Linked DNA regions of Mus musculus. The main gene of each other region encodes a partner of the protein of the gene in region 2 in a complex. Links are inferred from orthologs where the notes say so. Each region holds a gene or a part of one and is shown on either strand. Other genes may lie near its edges. The genes, in order: Polr2g and Ercc2.

Evidence for each region.
Region 1: Ercc2 (region 2) and Polr2g share a complex: the UniProt entries of both Homo sapiens proteins name them as parts of the TBP-based Pol II pre-initiation complex. The link is inferred for Mus musculus from reciprocal best matches to the Homo sapiens genes ERCC2 and POLR2G.

The regions. Positions count from the first base shown.
Region 1 is NC_000085.6:8,792,182-8,802,062, forward strand, and holds Polr2g (DNA-directed RNA polymerase II subunit RPB7), read right to left. Parts: upstream 6,377-9,881; 5' UTR 6,290-6,376; coding exon 6,278-6,289; intron 6,153-6,277; coding exon 6,043-6,152; intron 5,215-6,042; coding exon 5,055-5,214; intron 2,350-5,054; coding exon 2,299-2,349; intron 2,187-2,298; coding exon 2,121-2,186; intron 2,027-2,120; coding exon 1,955-2,026; intron 1,479-1,954; coding exon 1,445-1,478; intron 1,224-1,444; coding exon 1,210-1,223; 3' UTR 948-1,209; downstream 1-947. UniProt on the Homo sapiens protein: Core component of RNA polymerase II (Pol II), a DNA-dependent RNA polymerase which synthesizes mRNA precursors and many functional non-coding RNAs using the four ribonucleoside triphosphates as substrates.
Region 2 is NC_000073.6:19,389,237-19,399,197, reverse strand, and holds the end of Ercc2 (general transcription and DNA repair factor IIH helicase subunit XPD), read right to left. Parts: intron 9,092-9,961; coding exon 9,022-9,091; intron 8,950-9,021; coding exon 8,880-8,949; intron 8,800-8,879; coding exon 8,698-8,799; intron 7,672-8,697; coding exon 7,608-7,671; intron 7,234-7,607; coding exon 7,112-7,233; intron 5,950-7,111; coding exon 5,857-5,949; intron 5,766-5,856; coding exon 5,693-5,765; intron 5,569-5,692; coding exon 5,498-5,568; intron 5,423-5,497; coding exon 5,279-5,422; intron 5,160-5,278; coding exon 5,016-5,159; intron 4,847-5,015; coding exon 4,754-4,846; 3' UTR 4,558-4,753; coding exon of another isoform or gene 4,477-4,557; 3' UTR 4,314-4,476; coding exon of another isoform or gene 3,743-4,313; 3' UTR 3,504-3,742; downstream 1-3,503. Other genes in the region: Klc3 (kinesin light chain 3), read left to right, coding at 1,006-1,236, 1,728-1,797, 2,107-2,326, 2,604-2,691, 2,815-2,916, 3,225-3,398, 3,743-3,833, 3,919-4,313 and 1 more. UniProt on the Homo sapiens protein: ATP-dependent 5'-3' DNA helicase. Component of the general transcription and DNA repair factor IIH (TFIIH) core complex, not absolutely essential for minimal transcription in vitro.

The DNA.
Region 1 (9,881 bases), on a different chromosome or scaffold from region 2:
ACCTCTGCATCAGCTCCTGCTCCCAGACCTGCTTGAGTTCCAGTCCTGACTTCCTTTGGTGATGAACAGCAGCATGGGAGTGTAAGCCGAATAAACCCTTTCCTCCCCAACTTGCTTCTTGGTCATGATGTTTGTGCAAGAATTGAAACCCTGACTAAGACAATGATCAAGGGTGGGTGGGCCCATTGTGGGTGGTGCTATCCCTGGGCTGGTGGTCTTGGCTTCTATAAGCAAGCTGAGCAAGTCAGGGGAAGTCAGTAACAGCCCCACCCCCACCCCCCATGGCCTCTGCATTAGCTCCTGCTCTCCTGACATACTTGAGTTCCAGTCCTGACTTCCTTTGGTGATGAACAGCAATGTGGAAGTGTAAGCTGATTAAATCTGTTCCCCCCCAACTTGCTTCTTGGTCGTGTTTTGTGCAGGAACAGAAATCCTGACTGAGACAGTGGCTCACAACTATCTATAATGAGATCTCCTGCCCTAGTCTGATGTGTCTAAAGACAGCTATAGTATACCCATACATAAAATAAATACATCTGTTTTTTTTGCTTTTTTTTGTTTTTTGGTTTTTTTCAAGACAGGGTTTCTCTGTGTAGTCCTGGCTGTCCTGGAACTCACTCTGTAGACCAGGCTGGCCTCGAACTCAGAAATCCACCTGCCTCTGCCTCCCAAGTGCTGGGATTAAAGGCGTGCGCCACCACGCCCGGCAATACATCTGTTTTTAAAGATTATTTATTAATTATGTGCAGTGTTCTGCCTGAATATTTGCCTGCATGCCAGAAGAGGGCACCAAACCTCATTATAGATGATTGTGAGCCACCATGTGGGTGCTGGGAATTGAACTCAGGACCTCTGGAAGAGCAGTCAATGATCTTAACCTCTGAGCCATCACTCCAGCCCAATAAATAAATCTTAAAAAAAAAAAACATAAAACCAAACCAAAAATAGAATAAATAACAGCTTTAATTTCTACCAAGAGAAGACAACATTTCCATGAGAAACAAGGACAACATGTTTATGGTTAGAGCACAGAATAAAGTCTCAGGGCACAGCTCAGCTGGAAGAAACAGCTGAGGACAAGGAGCCTTTCTTGCCTCCCTAACAGTGGCCAGATTGAACCTCCGGTAGGAAAGTTAAGTTGGTGCTGAACTCAAGTCGGAAAGCCACACTTCCTAAATCAGGATCCAACCAAGCTGGACGCTCCCTCACTCAGCTCACGAGCCCTATGAGATCAGGAAAGAACGCATCAGTCAGACACCGAGTTCCCCGGCAGCCAAAAGCCAAGGATTTCCCACCCCAAGGACAGGTATCATGGACTTCTAGGAAACAGAATGAGAACCTCTTATGTCTCTGGGAGGAACATTAAGCCCTCCACCATCCCCTCTCCTGCACACCCTTCCTCAGGGAACGGTCCCAGGTCCCAGCAGCCATGTCAGGCACTCACCCAAGTAGTCGTCCATCAGAGAGCCAATGGCAAACTAGGAGGAAGGAGAGGGAGGGAGATGAGGCAGCCCACCCCAATCCCAAGCCTTCTGTCATCCATTCCCTCCTCAGGAAAAAAGAGCCCAGAACCCTCAACAACTGTGGGTGGCAAAAGGTTAGCAGATCTTCGGTCAGTAACACAGTGCAGGTGGTGAAAGAGCTTGCTACACAACCCCGATGACCTGACTTCTACTTCCAAATCCATAGCAGCACAAAGAACTTGAAAGCTGTCTAAATATCACACTGTGGCCAGTGGGTATGCGCAGCACACATCCACATAAATAATACAATTTTATAAAATACGAAAATAGTGATGTTCTAAAAAAGAAAAGAGAACGCCATAGCTCTCAGCTGCAAATGGTGATCCTGGCCTACTTATAATCCTACTATTTAGGAGGCAGAGGCAGGAGGTTCATGAGTTGCAGGCCAGCCTGGGCTACAGGCAAGAAAAGAAGTCAAGCAAGAGACTCACAATGTCATTCTTGTCTACACGCGTGCCTACAATCTTCAAGCGTATCTCATCGTCCTGCTGAATCACAATGTCCTATGGAAAGGAGAGAACAGTGGTCAAGCAGACTCAGGCCCAGTCTCAGTGTTGCTTTCCTCATCCCTCTCACCACTCCTCCACACTCGCTCACCTCGTCCATGGTCTTATAGCAAGGGGGGTTTGAATTTGGATCAAACTCCATCTCTGAAGGGATGGACTAGAAGGAAATTGACACAAAGGTTAGCACTTCAAACAGCTGCATCAATAGATGATAGCTATGGACCGACTGGTTTCTTTTCCTTGGCTCCACCCAGGATGCCCAGACTTACATGTCGAGAGATGAAGCAAGACATAGGCCCAATTTCTGTGAAAAGTCCAACCTAAAAGGAAAATGGATGATCTTGCTTCAAAGGCTTTGGAGCATTTTTATCTGATTCCTAATCATATTATTCGTGTTTTGTAACAGTCTAAATTGTAGCATTTGTTTTCATTTCTCTCTCTGTAGTCTTTCATTTCTTTACATTTTTGTTCTTCATTATTTTTACATGTGAGAGTATTCTGTCCTCACATGTACCTGTGTGCCATGTACATGCAGTGCCCATGGAAGCCAGAAGAGGGTGTTGGGATCCTGCAGAACTAGGAGATACAGAGATTGTGAGCCCCTGTGTAGGTGCTGGGATTGTGAGCCGCTATGTGGGTGCTGGGAGTCAAACCCAGGTCCTACAGTACCAACAGGTGTTCTAAACCACTGAGCTATAACCCGTAGCTTTTAAATTCACTAAATTACACCACCTAACCTTGCAGGCCTTGAACTTGGGATCCGACTCATCCTTCTAAGTAGAAAGGATTACAGGTTCATACTACTAAGCCTGGATTTTACAAAGGTGTTGGGGAACAGAACTCAGGTTTTGATGCTTGCACAGGAAACATTTTACCCACCAAATAAGAGCCCAGATCCTTATTTTTTTGTTTGAGGCAGAATTTCACTCTATAGCCCATGACAGCTTAAAACTTACATCAGTCCTACTTCAGCTTCCCAAGTGCAAGAATCACAGGCCTGACACACTATACCAGGCGTTCTCACTTCAGAGATTGTGGTGATTTTTATTTTTAAAAGATTTTTATTTTAAAAAGAGCTGGGGGGAGAGCAAGAACATGCCATTCTAGTTGAGAAAACTAGTTGCTCTTCCAAAGGAATCAGGTTTGGTTCCCAGAACCTGCAAGGCAGTTTACAACCTTCTGTTAATTCCTGTTCTAGGAGATCCAACACCCGTCTTCTGGGCACCAAGCACACATGTGGTACACAAACATGCATGCAGGGGTTCAAGGCCAGCCTGGTCTACAGAGTGAGTTCCAGGACAGCCAGGGCTACACAGAGAAACCCTGTCTCAAAAAAACAAAACAAAACAAAAGAAACATGCATGCAGACAAGACAAAACATCCATACAGCCAGTCAAGGTGGCAAAGCGTTTAATCCTATCACTTAGGAGGCAGAGGCAGGCAAATCTGTGTGTTTAAAGTTAGCCAGAGGGCTGGTGAGATGGCTCAGTGGGTAAGAGCACCCGACTGCTCTTCCGAAGGTCAGGAGTTCAAATCCCAGCAACCACATGGTGGCTCACAACCATCCATAATGAGATCTGACTCCCTCTTCTGGAATGTCTGAAGACAGCTACAGTGTACTTACATATAATAAAAAAAAAAAAAAAAAAAAAAAAAAAAAAAAAAGTTAGCCAGAGCTACAAAGTGAGTTCAAGGCCAGCCTTGGCTACATAGTGAGACCCTGTTTCAAAAAAACAAAAGCAAACAAATAAACGAAGAAAGGCCTGGGCTTGGAAATTTAGCTGAATTGTACGACCCTGGGTTTGATCTTCAGGTCTGGAGAGGAGAGTGGAGAAAGAAAGAGTCAGGGGGCAGCTGGTGAGATGGCTCAGTGGGTAAGAGCACCCGACTGCTCTTCTAAAAGTCCTGAGTTCAAATCCCAGCAACCATGTGGTGGCTCACAACCATCCATAACGAGATCTGACTCACTCTTCTGGAGTGTCTGAAGACAGCTACAGTGTACTTACATATAGTAAATAAATAAATCTTTTAAAAAAAAAAAAACCCTTAAAAAAAAAAGAGTCAGGGGGTAGTTTGCATACTATCAGTCAACAGTAACGACTCAGTCAATGCAGATTTCTATTGTAGCACGACTACTTCTGTAATTCAGAAGACACCCCCAGCTAAGTTAGATGGAAAGACAGTTAAGGAAAGTGAAGAACCAAAAAGTGACCTAAGGGACTGAAGAGATGGCTAAATAATTAAGAGTGCATAACCGTGCTTGCAGAGGACCTGAGTTCAATTCCTAGCATCCATATCCAGGGTCTCACAACTCCAGGTAGGAGGGGACCTGAAACCCTCTTGAAGCTTCAGAAGGTACCAGCACTCATGGGCTTGCACTCACCCCAGATAACATACAAGTACACATAGTTAAAATTAAAATAAATTGCTGGGTGGTGGTGGCTCGTGTCTTTAATCCCAGCACTCAGGAGGCAGAGGTAAGTGGATGTCTGAGTTTAAGGCTAGTTTGGTCTATGGGGTAAGTTCCAGGACAGCCAGGGCTACACAGTGAATCCCTGCCTCAAAAACAAAAGTACAAAACTGACAGCCAGGACTACACAGAGAAACCCTGTCTCTAAAAACAAAAACAAACAAACAAACAAAAAATCAAACCAACCAACCAACCAACCAAACAAACAAACAAAAAACCTGCTGGGTAGTGGTGGCACATGCCTTTAACTTGAGAGGCAGAGGCAGGTGGATTTCTGAGTTCGAGGCCAGCCTGGTCTACAGAGTGAGTTCCAGGAGAGCCAGGGCTACACAGAGAAACCCTGTCTCAAAAAAAAAAAAAAAAAAAAAAAAAAAAGAAAAGAAAAGAAAAGAAAAGAAAAAAGAAAACCCTAAAACCAGAAAAGAAAAACCAAAAAACTAAGATAAAATGAATCTTAACAACAACAAAAGACTTAAGGCAACTAGTAAGTGGACTAGGGACTGAACCCTCACCTTAGGAAATACCCCATAACCTTTCTATGAATAATACTCTTACCTTGTTGACCTGAGTGACCACAGCATCCACCACTTCACCTTTAAAGGGCCGGAAAACAATAGCTTTGTATTTCACTGGATAAAGAACAAAACCTCGGCCTGGCTGGATCACACCAGCACCAATATTGTCGATGGTGGTGACAGCAATTACAAAGCCATATCTGCATGAAAAATGAAAGAAGACAGCTATGTGAAGAGCCTCTGAAAAGCCACCAGCAATAAGAGTCTCTGTGTGAAAGAACCTCTGTTCAGATGGTTCATTGATCAAGAAGAGACAGGACACAGATTAGCACCTAAATATATATATATATATATACACACACACACACACACACACACACATATATATGTTTTTTCGAGACAGAGTTTCTCTGTGTAGCGCTGGCTGTCCTGGAACTCACTCTTTAGACCAGGCTGGCCTTGAACTCAGAAATCCACCTGCCTCTGCCTCCCAAGTGCTGGAATTAAAGGCATGCGCCACCCCCGACCAGCTTAGCACATGAAATATTAAATGATGCTCTCATGATGGTACAGTAAATGCCCAAGAAGGCCTAGATATGCTGACATACACCTATTCTCTCAGTACCATGTAGGCTAAGGCAGGAGGACTTGCCAGGGTCAAAGCTGAGACAGGTCTTTCAAAAACCACAAACGAGTCAGAGAATTGTGATGAAAGCCTTTAATGTCAGCACTCAGTGGCAGGCAGATCTCTGAATTAGAGCCCAGCTTGGTCCACATAGTGAGGCCATCTCAAAACTCAAAAACATTTGCATAATAACGGTCTTATCTCACATAAGGGAAGAAAATTTTCTTTAGTAGCTTTTCAGAGTGTCTAAAACAGGCAAAAACTGGCTGCTTCAGGTGCCTGGAGGGGTGAAAGGGTTCCTCAGAGTAAGCGACAAGCCCTGACAGAAGGAGTTAAGAAGAGGTTAGAGACTAGCGCCATTGTGCGTGCATTCAGCAGACCTCTCTGTGAAGCAGAAACTCACTTCCCAGTGCAGGTCCCCTCCACCTCGGTAAACAGCTTCTGCTTCACCGTGTTGAGCAAGTTTGGACCGAAGTATCGTGGGTGCAGGAGGATCTCGTGCTCCAGGGAAATCTGCAGAGAAAGGAAGATGGAGACTCAGCCAGCCACATTGAGGACAGGAGGCGACCTGTCGGCCCTTCCGGGCCTCCAGGATCCTCCTGTGACTGCCCCTCACAGTTACCCCGCATCCAGCTCACGTGATAAAACATCTTCTGCAGAAGCTTGGCCCGCAGCGCCCAGAACTTCCCACGCAGAGACCTCTCCGGAAGCACTTGCAGAAGTCCCACCACTTCTCTGCGGTCGCTTCCGCAGCGCTGATTGAGTCTTAACGTCATGGGCGGGGATACATGAAGCCCCGCCCCTCAGGCCTGCCCACCACCGTTCATACTCCCCTCCTACTTAAAGCAAATTCTAGGACAGCCGGGATTACAGAGAAAAACCCGGCCTCGAAGAACCAAAGCCAAAACTAAAACCAAAACCAAAACCAAAACCAAAACCAAAACCAAAACCAACCAAAAAATGTGAGTTATTTTAGGTCTGACTTTTACCACATGCCCTTAAACCCAGCCGTGGCAAACAGATCTCTAAACTTAAGGCTAAGCCACAGCTACAAAGTGAGTTCCAGGGTAACCTGGGCTGTGTATACAACCCTGTAAAACATTTACACATATTTAAAAAAAACCAAAAAATTATTATTATTTAATTTGGGGGCTGAAGAAATAGCTCAGTCCTTAAGAGCACTTGCTCCTCTTGCAGAGGTCCAGGATTTAATTCCCAGCACCCACAGGGTAGCTCACACTCTTCTTTGTAACTCCAGCTCAGGGAGAGCTGACATCCTCTTCTGGCTTCCTTCAGCACTGCATGTGAGTGGTACCCAAACACACATACAGGCAGAACACCCATGCTTGTAAAATAAAAAGAAAGGCTAGGCAGCTGGGGATATGATTGTTCTTCCAAAGGATCCAGGTTTGATTCCCAGCACAAGCATGCTGACTCAACTCTCTATCTATACTTCAATCCCAGGGGATCCAGTGCCCTCTGGCCTCCATGAACACAGCACCCTTGTGGTGAACAGACATAGCTGTAGCCAGAACACTCACACATATAAAATAAGAATAACGGTTTTTTTTTTTTTTACATGTAAATAAAAATAAAGCTCTCAAAGAGGACCTGAGTTCAGTTACTAACACTAGCATTTCACAACTCCAGCTCTAAGGGGACCTGAAATCTTCTCGTAGCCTCAGAAGGTACCAGTACTCATAGGCTCATACTCACACATAGGTAGCATACATTATTAAGTACACATAATTAAAAAGAAATCACTTAGCTGGGCATGATGGCGCACGCCTTTAATCCCAGCACTTGGAAGGCAGAGACAAGTGAATTTCTGAGTTTGAGGCCAGCCTGGTCTACAGAGTGAGTTCCAGGACAGCCAGGGGCACATAAACAAGGCTGTCTTAAAAAACAAAACAAAACAAAAAAACCCCAAAAAGACAGCAAACAAACAAAAAGATTATGTCTGCAGGCATGCACTAGGCTTACTTTCTTTTCTATTTGAGGGACAGGGTTTTATTATGTAGCCATGGACGGCCTGGAATTTGTTTTGTAGAGGAAGCTTGCCTTGAACTTTTAACAATTCTCTTGCCTTTTCTTTTGAAGTCCTGGGTAAAGTGGAAGCTTAAGGTTTGTCAGTTGTGTTGGAAGGTATTTTGCTGGAGCTAACACGTGAAGGAGTGTTTTCCTGAAGTGGACACAGGTGAAAGAGTAAGGCAGACTCATGAAGGAACATTTAGTTGAAGCAGACACAGGAGAGAGATGTACTGCTAAAGCAAGCACATGAAAGGACACGTGATAAAGGATTCTTTGCTAAAAACTGGCATGTATTGGCCTGCCTTCCATTGCACAGTTGAGTTGAATTTGTCAGGACTCCATAGGGAGAAATGCACCAAAAAACTTTTGGTGGTGTGCTGCAGTTTCTTGCTGCTTCTTCGGACTTGGGCTGATTGGCAGAGTGATGTCAGGTAAGACAGACGCATGTGCTGCGTCAAGACTCATGGAGAACATGTGATGTTTGGAGAGAGTATAAGTAGGACTCAGTGGATGGTGATAGAGGCTGAGCTAGGCTTGCTTCTAGAGCTAGCTATGCAATGCTTGTAGGTCTCAAGTCTGCTTATCTCATCCCTGAGAGAGGCACAGCCTAGAACTTTTCGTAGTGTTCCTCCTGGTCCCACCTGCTGACTTGTGCCAAGGCTGAGGCCTGGCTGTCTCTGCTAGGTCGTTCCACTGCTACTGATTCATGTTTGCTATCCTGACTCTCCCAAACTGGACTGCTGGTGTATCCATGAAGTGTTTGCGAGTGGATCCAGCTGCTGCTGCTAACCAATAAACTGAACTGCTGATTTCTGGACAATATAGACAAGATACTAAGATACTAAGATATTATCAGGACTCAGATAATAGAGAGAAGCTCAGGAGTGTTAGGTCATCCTTGGATACAAGAGCAAATATGAGGACAGCCTGTGTTAAGTGAGGGCTTGTCATTTTAAAGGAAAAAAAAAAAGGAGAAGGTACAGGGTGGGGGAAATGTTTCTTCAATACTGGTCACCATTGACCTGCCTATAGCTCCTGCTGGTGAGACATTGGCAGGAGCACTCTAAGTTCCAAGACAACCTGTGCTACATGTGGAAATCCTCTCAAGCAAACAAGAAGTAGCTCAATTGAAAAAATAAACAAAACTCCATTCGTGGAACTATTTCCAGGGACTCATGGTGCAGCTCTGGTGGCCTAGAACTCACTATATTGACCAGGTTGACTTTAAACTCTCAGAGATCTGCCTGCCTCTATTTCCCAAGTGTTGGGATTAAAAGAGCACATCACCTACACTTGGGTTTTATGCTGTCCAGGCTGTGCTGAAAGTTTGTTGTTCCGGCTGGCCTTGAAGTTCCGATGCTCTGTCTTCTACCTCCTGAACATATTGTGGACATGCACAACCACATGTGTATTATGGGACCAAACAGGACTATCTTTGGAGGCAAACTACCATCCTCCTCAGAACTTTAGCTGGGTCTGCAGGCAGAAGACCACCTCAGCTGTGCTTGCTGACTGTTGACTTTCCCTTATAGGATGAGGGGCTGTGGAGGGTCATGAGACCCTCACTTGAGTATCCAGTCACTTCCCTCAACCAGTTCCCTAATTGCACATGACCCCAGGATCTCCAGGGCTGGGTGTGTGTGTAATATATATATTACATATATTACCTGATTGATATACATATATATATATATATATATATATATATATATATATATATATATATATATATATATATATATATATATATATACCCAGAATTCTATAGGTGGAGAATGACTTAGGGAGGGAGCTCCATCTATATGGCTACAGGAACATTATGCTGGGTAAACCCTTTAGCCAGGGACTTCTGAAGTGGCTCACCCACACTCCTGTAAGTAACCCCTCACCTAGGCTCTGTAAGAAAGGCCAATAAGTTCTCAGGGGCCCAAGGTACTAGTGGCATAGTACCTTGGTTTATCATTGGGACCTTACAGAAGAGTTTTTTGTTTTGTTTTGTTTTCTCTACTTATTGACTTTACATTCCGATCGCAGCCCCCCTCAGGGAAAAGATTTTAACAACACAGATATCCTTAGACTCTGTCCCATTTCTGTCCTTACTAGGGCTTGCCTAGAGAACAGTCCATCATCTTCATAGAGTTAGAGGTAGTTACTAACACCACTACTGAGCCTGAACTAGTGGCGCATCCTGTAATTTTCGAGGACCAGATC
Region 2 (9,961 bases):
GTGTCTGTGTGTGTCGGGGGTGGGGGGGAGGGCCCAGGTAGGATGTCTGAAGGAGCCAAGCCCAGGAAGAGGGACTGCAGGCCAGAGACAGCATCCCTGAGAAGCATTAGGGATGAGAGATTTTGTGTGTACCAATGGGATTCTCCTGTAGAACCTGGGCCTGGAGTGAGTTTGGGGTTTTCATTATGAATGGAATGTCAGTGAGGGGCTGGGGCATGGCTCAGAAGTGGAGCCCCTGCCTAACCCCAGCCCCTCTCTGGGGGGTTCTAGGCAGGAGTTCTACCACTGAGCCTCACCCCCAGCCCCTCACTGGAGGATTCTAGGCAGGGCTCTACCACTGAGCCTCACCCCCAGCCCCTCACTGGGGGATTCTAGGCAGGGGCTCTACCACTGAGCCACGCCCCCAGCCCCTCACTGGGGGATTCTAGGCAGGGCTCTACCACTGAGCCTCACCCCCAGCCCCTCACTGGGGGATTCTAGGCAGGGGCTCTACCACTGAGCCTCACCCCCAGCCCCTCACTGGGGGATTCTAGGCAGGGGCTCTACCCCTGAGCCACGCCCCCAGCCCCTCACTGGGGGATTCTAGGCAGTGGCTCTACCACTGAGCCACGCCCCCAGCCCCTCACTGGGGGATTCTAGGCAGGGGCTCAACACTGAGCCACGCCCCCAGCCCCTCACTGGGGGATTCTAGGCAGGGGCTCTACCACTGAGCCACACCCCAGCCCCTCACTGGGGGATTCTAGGCAGGGGCTCTCCCACTGAGCCACGCCCCTGTTCTTCACAGATGGATTTTAGGCAGCTGCTGACCTACATAGTTGGGATAGGAATTAACCCTATGCATAATTTAGGTGAAGTTAGGGATTTCTGGGAAACTCTTAATTATCAGAGCCACATAGTAGGGTGTGTTGAGGATTTGGGGGAACCTGTGTAGAATGTGGCTTGATGTAAAACCTGGACTGGGACTGGGATGAATCCACTCCTACTCAGGGTCCCAATGCTTCGCAGGTGCTGCTGGCCCTGTCCGCACACGTGAGTGTGTTGGAGGCTGAGAAGCAGAGGCTACGGGCACAGGCACGGAGGCTAGCCCAAGAGAACACATGGCTTCGAGAGGAGCTGGAGGAGACACAGAGGCGACTGCGGGCCAGCGAGGAGGCTGTGGCCCAGCTGGAAGAGGAGAAGAGCCACCTCCAGTTCCTGGGGCAGCTGAGGCAGTATGACCCGCCCGAGGAGAGCCAGGTAGCAGGGGCAGGGTTAGAAGGGAATGCACAGTCCTCTACAGAGCTCCTGGGTGCCTGCAGGAGCTCTTAGTACAGCCCTTCAAGTACAAATGGAGTCCCTCAATCCCCACACCTAATTGAGCCCCCAAAGTACCTTGAATGCTCCTTAGAGCATTCTTCCCCCAGCCCACTGAAACCTCTAAGGCTCTCACCCCACACCTCTGTCAAACTCAGAGCTACTGTGGCTGAGGATGAAGGATGCTGTGAGTTCTAGGCCAGCCTGGGCCACGTAGTGAGACTCTTACCTCAGAAATATACCAGTCCCTGAAGCCAGGCATGGTGGCGTGCCTTTAAGCCCAGCACCGTGAAGGCAGAGGCATGCTAGCCTAGTCTACATGGTGAGCCAGCCCCTGCCCTGAACAACAGAGAGCTACACAGGCAGGCCCGATGTAGCTCCAGGGCCTCGGCCTGACACTTGACTTTCTCAGAACTCTTTCCTGTTTTCCACAGAGGCCCGAGTCCCCCCCTCGCCGAGACAGCTTGGCATCTCTGTTCCCCAGTGAAGAGGAGGAAAAGAAAGGTGGGTGTGTGGGAGCCCTGGGCACGATATCAGAGGGTAACCACCCAGGACTACAGGTTAAGCCTGGGACAGGAACCTTGCCCTGAGGGACACCGAGGCCTCTGAGGAGGGGAAGAAGCAGGTGGCCCTGGCTAGTAGGGACATTGGAAGCTGGAAGACAGTCACGTTAGGTTCTGGCACCTAACATGCCACCGGCTGGTTAGATTTCTGAAATCCCTGTGTCCTGTCACCACATGACCGTACTCTAAGAGGTGGCTGTTGGGACCAGGCTGAGGCCCACTGTGGGTGACTCCACACTACCTCCCCTAGGTCCTGAGGCAGCAGGAGCAGCAGCCGCGCAGCAGGGTGGCTATGAGATCCCAGCTCGTCTGCGGACCCTGCACAACCTGGTGATCCAGTATGCTGGCCAGGGCCGCTATGAGGTGGCAGTTCCCCTATGTCGCCAGGCTCTGGAGGACCTGGAGCGGAGCTCGGGCCACTGCCATCCTGACGTGGCCACCATGCTCAACATCCTGGCACTCGTGTACAGGTGAGGGCCCAGGCTGATCGGGCTGGGGTTCCGCCTGGGATAGTGGGAGGGGGGGTGGCACTGTGATCCCCTGACAAGGTAAATTGCCTGGGGTGGGAACAGAATGAGAGGGGAACAGAGACCTAGAGAGGCGGTGAGAGCGAGTCTAGAGTTTGGGCACCAGAGAAGGCAAGGTACATGAGACAGGATGCTTGGCAGGGCTGGCAGTGTGGGGACCCCTAGGATGCTGGCCATTCCTGACTCAGTCTAAGCTCAGCCTTCCATCCCTGCCCTGCAGGGACCAGAACAAATACAAGGAAGCTACGGAGCTTCTTCACGACGCCCTGCAGATCCGGGAACAGACGCTGGGTCCTGAACACCCTGCAGTGAGCAGCAGTTCAGGGAGGGAGGGAGGGAGGGAGGGAAGATGGACTGGGGAGGGTGGGCTGCAGGAACCGCCTCCTCCTCCTCCTCCTCCTCCTCCGCCACCACCAACTGTCTTCCTGCAGGTGGCTGCCACCCTCAACAACCTGGCTGTCCTCTATGGAAAACGTGGACGTTACCGGGAGGCAGAACCCCTCTGCCAGCGTGCTCTGGAGATCCGTGAGAAGGTGCTGTACCCGGCCCCTTTCCCCATCACTGGTACCTCAAGCCATCTGGTGTACCTTATTTGAGTTTGCCTTATTTGAGCCTGCAGCACCCTTGTGGCCTTGATGAACTTACAGTCCAAGTCCAATCCTGCTTTGATCTCCTGAACCCTTATGATTGGCTGGACTCAGCACCCCGTGACCTCTGACCTCACTAATTCCTACACCCCATTAACTTCCACTTTGTTCCTGTCTTCCCAGCCTGGGACCCTAGAATGACAGTGGCATCTCATGGACCACCTTATGTGACAGATGGGTTGTGTGTACCCTAGGTCCTGGGTGCAGACCACCCTGATGTGGCCAAGCAGCTCAACAACCTGGCCCTACTGTGCCAGAACCAGGGCAAGTTTCAGGACGTGGAGCGGCACTATGCGCGGGCCCTGAGCATCTACGAGGCCCTGGGCGGGCCACAGGACCCAAATGTGGCCAAGACTAAGAACAACCTGGTAAGGCATGCCAGGTCTGTCCTGTCCTGGGGACACTGTAGGGAGGAGAGAGACTGAAGGATCTTACAGCCCCTTCAGTACAAAAATATCAGAAGCAAACCCCAGTTCACAAAGTCCTATCAGATTTTATTGTGTCATGGTGGGTGACCCCGAACATTTCACCCACTGAGGTAGGAGACTGGCACAGAGATGCAGGACCCAGTGGCAGGTAGCCTGGTCTCCTGCGCGGGTGGCTCTGCACTGCAGTAAGCTGAGGCAGGATGCTGGGGAAGGCGGGCAGGTCTGAGACGTTCCCAGGCCTAAACAAGATGTCCACACCCTACCCCTGCCCTCCCTCCCCGCAGGCCTCAGCCTACCTGAAACAGAACAAGTATCAGCAGGCAGAGGAGCTATACAAGGAGATCCTCAGCCAGGAGGCCCTGCCCGCCCCACTTGGTGAGCCCACCCCTGCACCTTCCTGCACCCCCTCCTGCATGGTGGCATTCCTCACACCTGCCTCCATGTCCCTTCTGTCCCACAGGAGCCCCCCAGGGAGGCACAGCAGGCGATACACAGCAGCAGGTAAGCAGGCTCCACCTCAGGTCCTTGTTGGGCCCCCACCATGTCCCCACACATCACTGTGCCCTCCCCAGGTCCTGCGCAGGAGCAGTTCCTTCTCTAAGCTCCGGGAATCCATCAGGCGAGGAAGCGAGAAGCTGGTCTCCCGCCTCCGAGGAGAGGGCATGGCAGGGGCTGCCGGGTGAGTGCCGGGAGAGGTCAGCAGTCTGTCAGGAACCATCCGTGACATCAGTCAGAGCCAGGGATCTGCAGTCTTCCCTGTCTCACTCCTGTCTTTTTGGGCTCCTCTTCAGGATGAAGAGAGCCATGTCACTCAATATGCTGAACGTGGATGGTCCCAGGGCTGCCCGGACGCAGGTGAGGAGTCAGTGATGGAGTGGGGTGCTGCTGGCAGGCTCAGCAAGCCAGGAAAGGTGGGGCCGCCTCCTGGGGACTCAAGGTAGGGAGGAGCTGGTGGGCAGGGCATGAAGTGGCTCCAATGTCAACTGGAAAAGAACTCTAACCATTCCTGTGCTCTCAGCTCTCCCAGCTCTCAACCCGGCACCTGAGTGAGGCCCCTCGGACCCTGAGCATCAGCACACAAGATCTGAGCCCGCGCTAAGTGGACTGGCTGCAGAGGCCACAGCTTCTCAAGGATCAGGAAGGGTGGGTGGTCACCCTGCACCCTGCCTGGGCAGCTCTTGTAGATCGCTCCCTGCAATTAAAGGCGGTGCACTGGTACTGGGTGTTTGCCGAGGGCCCTGGGACCTTCCAGCACCTCCCAGGAGCCACAGGCGGTCACCCCACAGCCCCGCTGTTCAGAGCTGCTGTGCGATCTGCTCAATTCGCTGTAGTGTCTCCTCTGACTGCAGCTGCTCCAGGCTGAGCAGCGACAGGCCCAGCTGATCCTCCTGGAGGGAACAGAGGTAAAGGGCAGGAGTCAGCTCACACGGGCACGCGATGAGAGAGTGCAGTGGCTGGAGTTCACTCCTGTCCTTTCGCCGGAATACGGGGCCAGAGACGACTAGGAAGCATGTGCACACCTGGTGGAGAGAGAAGCCGTGCGGGGCCCAGGCTTACCCGGTGGAAGGGCTGCGCCATCTGCCGCAGGAAGTACTTGGCGACCTGTACACCCTCATCCACGGTCAGGTTGAGGTTGGAGTCGGTCAGGTGCTCCTGGATCCAGCGAGGCAGCTTACCACGCTTGTCCGCCCGAGCAAACCGCTGAGGAGGGAGGGGAAGGACATTAGAGCCCAGGTTGGAGCCCAGGCTGCCCACTACCCTGTACCCTGGGAGGAAGTCGGGCTACCTGGACTGGGGTGCCCAAGAGCCCTGAGCCCCACCTTGTCAGCAAAGACCATGAGTCCATAGTCCGTCTTGCCCCTGATGGCACGACCCACACACTGGGCTGCATGGCGCATAGCATCAAAGGTGAGGAAGTCGTTCTCTCGGATCTGGAACTGGTCCCGCAGATACTCTAGCCGGGCCTGGGGGATGAGGAGGCTGAGGCGGAGGGCCTGCCCTTCCCCCACACCCCCTGACAGCACTGTTTCCCCACTCACCTTGAGAATTCGGCTCTGGGTATAGACATAGGGAACTCCAAACATGATCACAGCCCGTCCGTAGTGGTGTACTGGGGACAGGAGAGCAGGATTACAGTGCATGCTGGGGCTAAGGTCACCCCAGGGCCTGGAAAGGGGACAGATCCCGTGTGGTAGGATGGGCAGGAACCTGAGCTAAGAGTCAGGTCTACTCACCAAAGTCAATCCCTTCTGATACTTTGCCCCGAGCCACTGAGAGCAGAATGGCCCCACGGCCATTCTCGCATGCCTGGGGTGGGGAGGTGGAAGTCGTCACTCGTCAGCCCTCTCCCACTCACCCGTTGGCTGCTGGCATTTCTCTGCCTGTCCCAGGCACCCACCTCTTGGTACTTCTCCAGGGCCACACTGGTCTCAGCCCCATCCTGGGTCTCAATGAAGAGCAGTTTGTTCCTCTGGATGTTCTCAAGGATGCCCTGGGGGTGACAGGGAGGTCAGAGTTCAGACCACACAGAGTCAAGCACTGCCATGGCCTCCCATGAAAACCCTCCTCTAGGCCCCTAGCTGTCCAACCTCACTGGCAGTCCAAAGTGGGGAGCCAACCACCACCCACAGTGGGCACGGGGCCCCAGAGTGGCTTGTGACTGGTGGAGGGTCTGACCATAACCACGGCAGGACCAAGCAGGTTGTCCTCAGATCAGATAGGTCTGTCACTGCAGTGGTGAGGGAGGGGCAGCCCACCAGGACAGACGTGGGGACCAGAGGCGCCAGGCAGCGTTACCTGTGCAGCCCAGTGAGCAAACTCTACCAAAGATGCTAAGTCTGGGAGGTTTTTGTTTTTTGTTTTTTTTTTGGTTTTTCGAGACAGGGTTTCTCTGTGTAACCCTGGCTGTCCTGGAACTCACTCTGTAGACCAGGCTGGCCTTAAACTCAGAAATCCGCCTGCCTCTGCCTCTCGAGTGCTGGGATTAAAGGCGTGTGCCACCACGCCCGGCTTTTTTTTTTTGGAAGTCTGGGAGTTTTACTTGGATAAAATGAACTCTAGCCTTATCTCACCTAGTCCAAATGAGTCTCTGGTGTCTCTGCAGACAGACTCTGGCCTCAACAGTCAGGCAGACAGGCAGATGTCTGTTTTTAGTACTAGAGATCGACTGTGGTAATGGCCTGTATGTGTTATATGCTAGCTCTACCACTTAATTAAACCTACAGCCCCTCTCTGTGAGTTCAGACTAGGCACCCTGCCTGAGACACACCCACAGTCTACAATGCCTGTTCAAACATAGGCCTCAAAGCTGGGCTCAGCAGTCATAAGACATGGCACCCCCATGCGGAACCAAAGCCCCAAAGCTCCATCCAACCACACAGGTATGAGAGCTCCTGGAGCCGAAGTTCTGGTCCAGCCTAACTCTCCAGAATTTGTACAGCCTATCACCAAGCCTGCTTGCTGGGGATGTAGTCTGCAGTAACCCCAAGAGCAACGCAGCACACAAACCCCAAAAGTAGGGTAGTCTCCTGTGGTGGGGACGGGTTAAGGGTGCTTAACTGCCCTGCCCTGTGACACATGTCACCAGTAGAAAGAGGGAGTGAAGTCATATATATCTAGGAAGAGCAGAGCTGAGGGTGTGGTGCCAGGCGTACCTGCTCATACCAGGAGGCCACGGTGCTTTCCATGTACTGGTAGCTGGTAAAGAAGGCCACAATGCCATCTGGGACCACGGCGGACATCTCCAGCAGGAGGTTGCCATAGTTTCGGATCACAGCTAGAAGAGTAGGTTAAAGAGTGGATCCTCTCCTGGCTCCCATTGAGACCACCTAACCATATCCCAAACGCATTCTCCCAAGCACAGTAGAGGGCTGTCTCCCATTCCCTGAGGATATATAACTTGTGACAGCAAAAGAGACATGTAGAAGTGGTTGTTTCTTCCATGTGACACTCAGGAGCCAGTGCCCAAAGTTCCAGGGGCCAGTGCTTAGGCTCAATAGTGCACCTGTTAGTGCAGACCTCCAAGTGAAGAAACCTAAGGCACTGAGGATGGGAACCCCCCCTGTGCTAGCATAGAGGCTGGGATAATGCTATGGCAGCAGGTCCTAGGCCACCTGAGACCCACCCCAACCAAGCCTACAGGTGACTCACCAATATCTTCTCTGGTCTCAAATTTGGAGCTGATTGCTACCTGGTCATTACCACGGCCAATGATCTGGAAGAATCAGGTTAAAGGCCTTGAGATGATGTCTCATGTAGCCCAGGCTGGCCTTCAGACTAGGAGCCTTCCCAAGGCTCTCTTTCCCCCTAAACCCATGAGAAGGCTCTTCTCCAGCCTCCTGAAATTCTGTGTAGCCAAGGTGACCCTGGTTCTCCTGCCCACCTCTGCAGTTGAGATCACAGGCCTGCGCCCAAGTGCCCGGCATGCTAGGCAAGTGCTGGAGCAAACAAGGCCCGAGTTCAGGTAAGCCTTATGCAGACAACAGATTAGATGGCCCAAGCCTATGGCTGGCACTGCTTGGGCAAGTGCTTGGAGCTCAACCATGAGCCACCTGCCCACAGTCACAGAGTAACAAGCCCCAGGGAAGGGCCCTCTGTGCTTCTAGGCAGGACTATACCAGCCCTGGGCAGTTCCAGACATAGGTCACCCACAGCACACATCCCATTAGCTACCCTCCCCAGTCCACCATGCCAGTGAGTGGTCAGAGAGACTGATCCAAAAACCCCACAGCTCTGAACCCATCTGTCTAACCCCTGCTGCAAAGCCACTGCCCTCTTCAAAGTCCATGCTCTGTGAGCATGCTGTCCGGTTACAGCCCCCTCCCCCGACAGTAAGGTTAAAGGGTTTCTGATTGTGTGCCGGGCAGTATCCCAGCCACCCTTGGCTGCTTGTGGCCCATGGCCCATGGGTTGAACATGCCTAGCTGCAGGGTTCTGAACTGCAAAGCAGAGACCATGAGGCTGAGAGGACAGCTCTGCCCCAGGTTTCAGAGGGAGGCTCATTACTCAAGACACAGCTGGGTGACAAATGACAAAGCCATCAGCACGATGATGCCAGCCACCACCTGCCCAGGCCTGCGTCGCACCAGCGTACACTGTGTGCATGTGTCTATGTGCCATAGCCCAGTGGCGGCGTACACTTGGTAACTTGGTGCACCCACCAGGCCTGAGCCTCAGCTGAGTAACCGGCTGCCTAGGTCGAAGCCAGGAGGCAGGCGGCTCCCCGGTCTCACCCACTCACCATCGGGCAGAGGCAGACTCGGGCCAGCGTCATGGTGAAGGTTGCCATTGTGACAGGGTGGAAGTCCAGGATCTTGGGGTAGATGTCCAGTGGGGACAGTGTCTGTAACGGAGACAGCAAGGGAGACCTCAGCAGGCTGGCCGGAGACCAGGAGCCCGATGAAGGAGCAGCAGAGTCCTCACCCCAGAAGTGATGATGACAGACTGGAAGCGCTCAAACACAGGCTTGATGGCCAAGGAGGCGTCCATACAGCTGCGGGACAACACGGGGGTCACACGGGGCAGAGGGCGGGGCCTGTCCCATCCACACAGGGTTGCATCTCACCTGAAGTGCAGAACGGGGTTGGCGATGGTGGGGGTCCTGTCGTCAAAGGGCTCAATGATAATGGTGAAGCCTGGTGGAGGGAGAGGCCGGGGAGTCTCAGTCACTCATCACCCCGGGACAGAACTGCCCCAGCCTGCCCACTTCTGCAAACCCTCAGGTGCAGAAGCAGTGAGCTGTGGCTTCATACATGGTCCCGCAGGTAGCCAAGCCCGCCATTCCCCAGGCACCTCTGTCCTCCAGGCTCTCACTCCTGTCCCCGCAGAGCAACCAGAGACATGTCATGGAACCCCAAGTTTGCCAGTTTCCACACTTCCCATGACCCCAGAAGGGTGTCATGCACTCTCCCAGGCTGAAGAGCAAGATTTGCCTGCTTTCCTCCCTCCCATTCCTCACCGTGCCTCTCTGCCACCAACACAGGCTAAGTAGAGGCAGGGAAGAGGGCCGCTCCTGAGGGAAGCAGCAATGGCTTTGGCAGTAAGAGGCTGGTAACCAGGTGGACCTGGCCTTGGGTGCCTTCCTGACTGGCTTTTTTTGTTGTTGTTGTTGGTTTTTTTCTGTTGCCAGCACAGGGTACCATGACTGGGATAACACTTCACAACCAAGGACAAGAAAAACAAGGATAGTTCATATTCCAGAGTCCCACTGTGAGACACCTGAGGGCCCCCTTGCCCTGAGCTGCTGTGCCAGCTTCCACTTGGCTGAATCCCTGCCCCAGAGGACAGTGCCATGGCTCCTTGCAGCACCGCTCCACTTCCCAGGGTCACCTGGAACCATCTTTGCTCCTCATTCTCCCCCAGGCTGTGACTCCGGGAAGGGGAGGATGAGGCTGTTTCAGTAGTGCTGGGCCTGGCCCCATTTGCTAACTGAACAAATGAATACATTCATGGGTTCTGTTTCACTTGGCAAAAATGATCGGGTCTTACGTGTCCAGCCCTTGCCA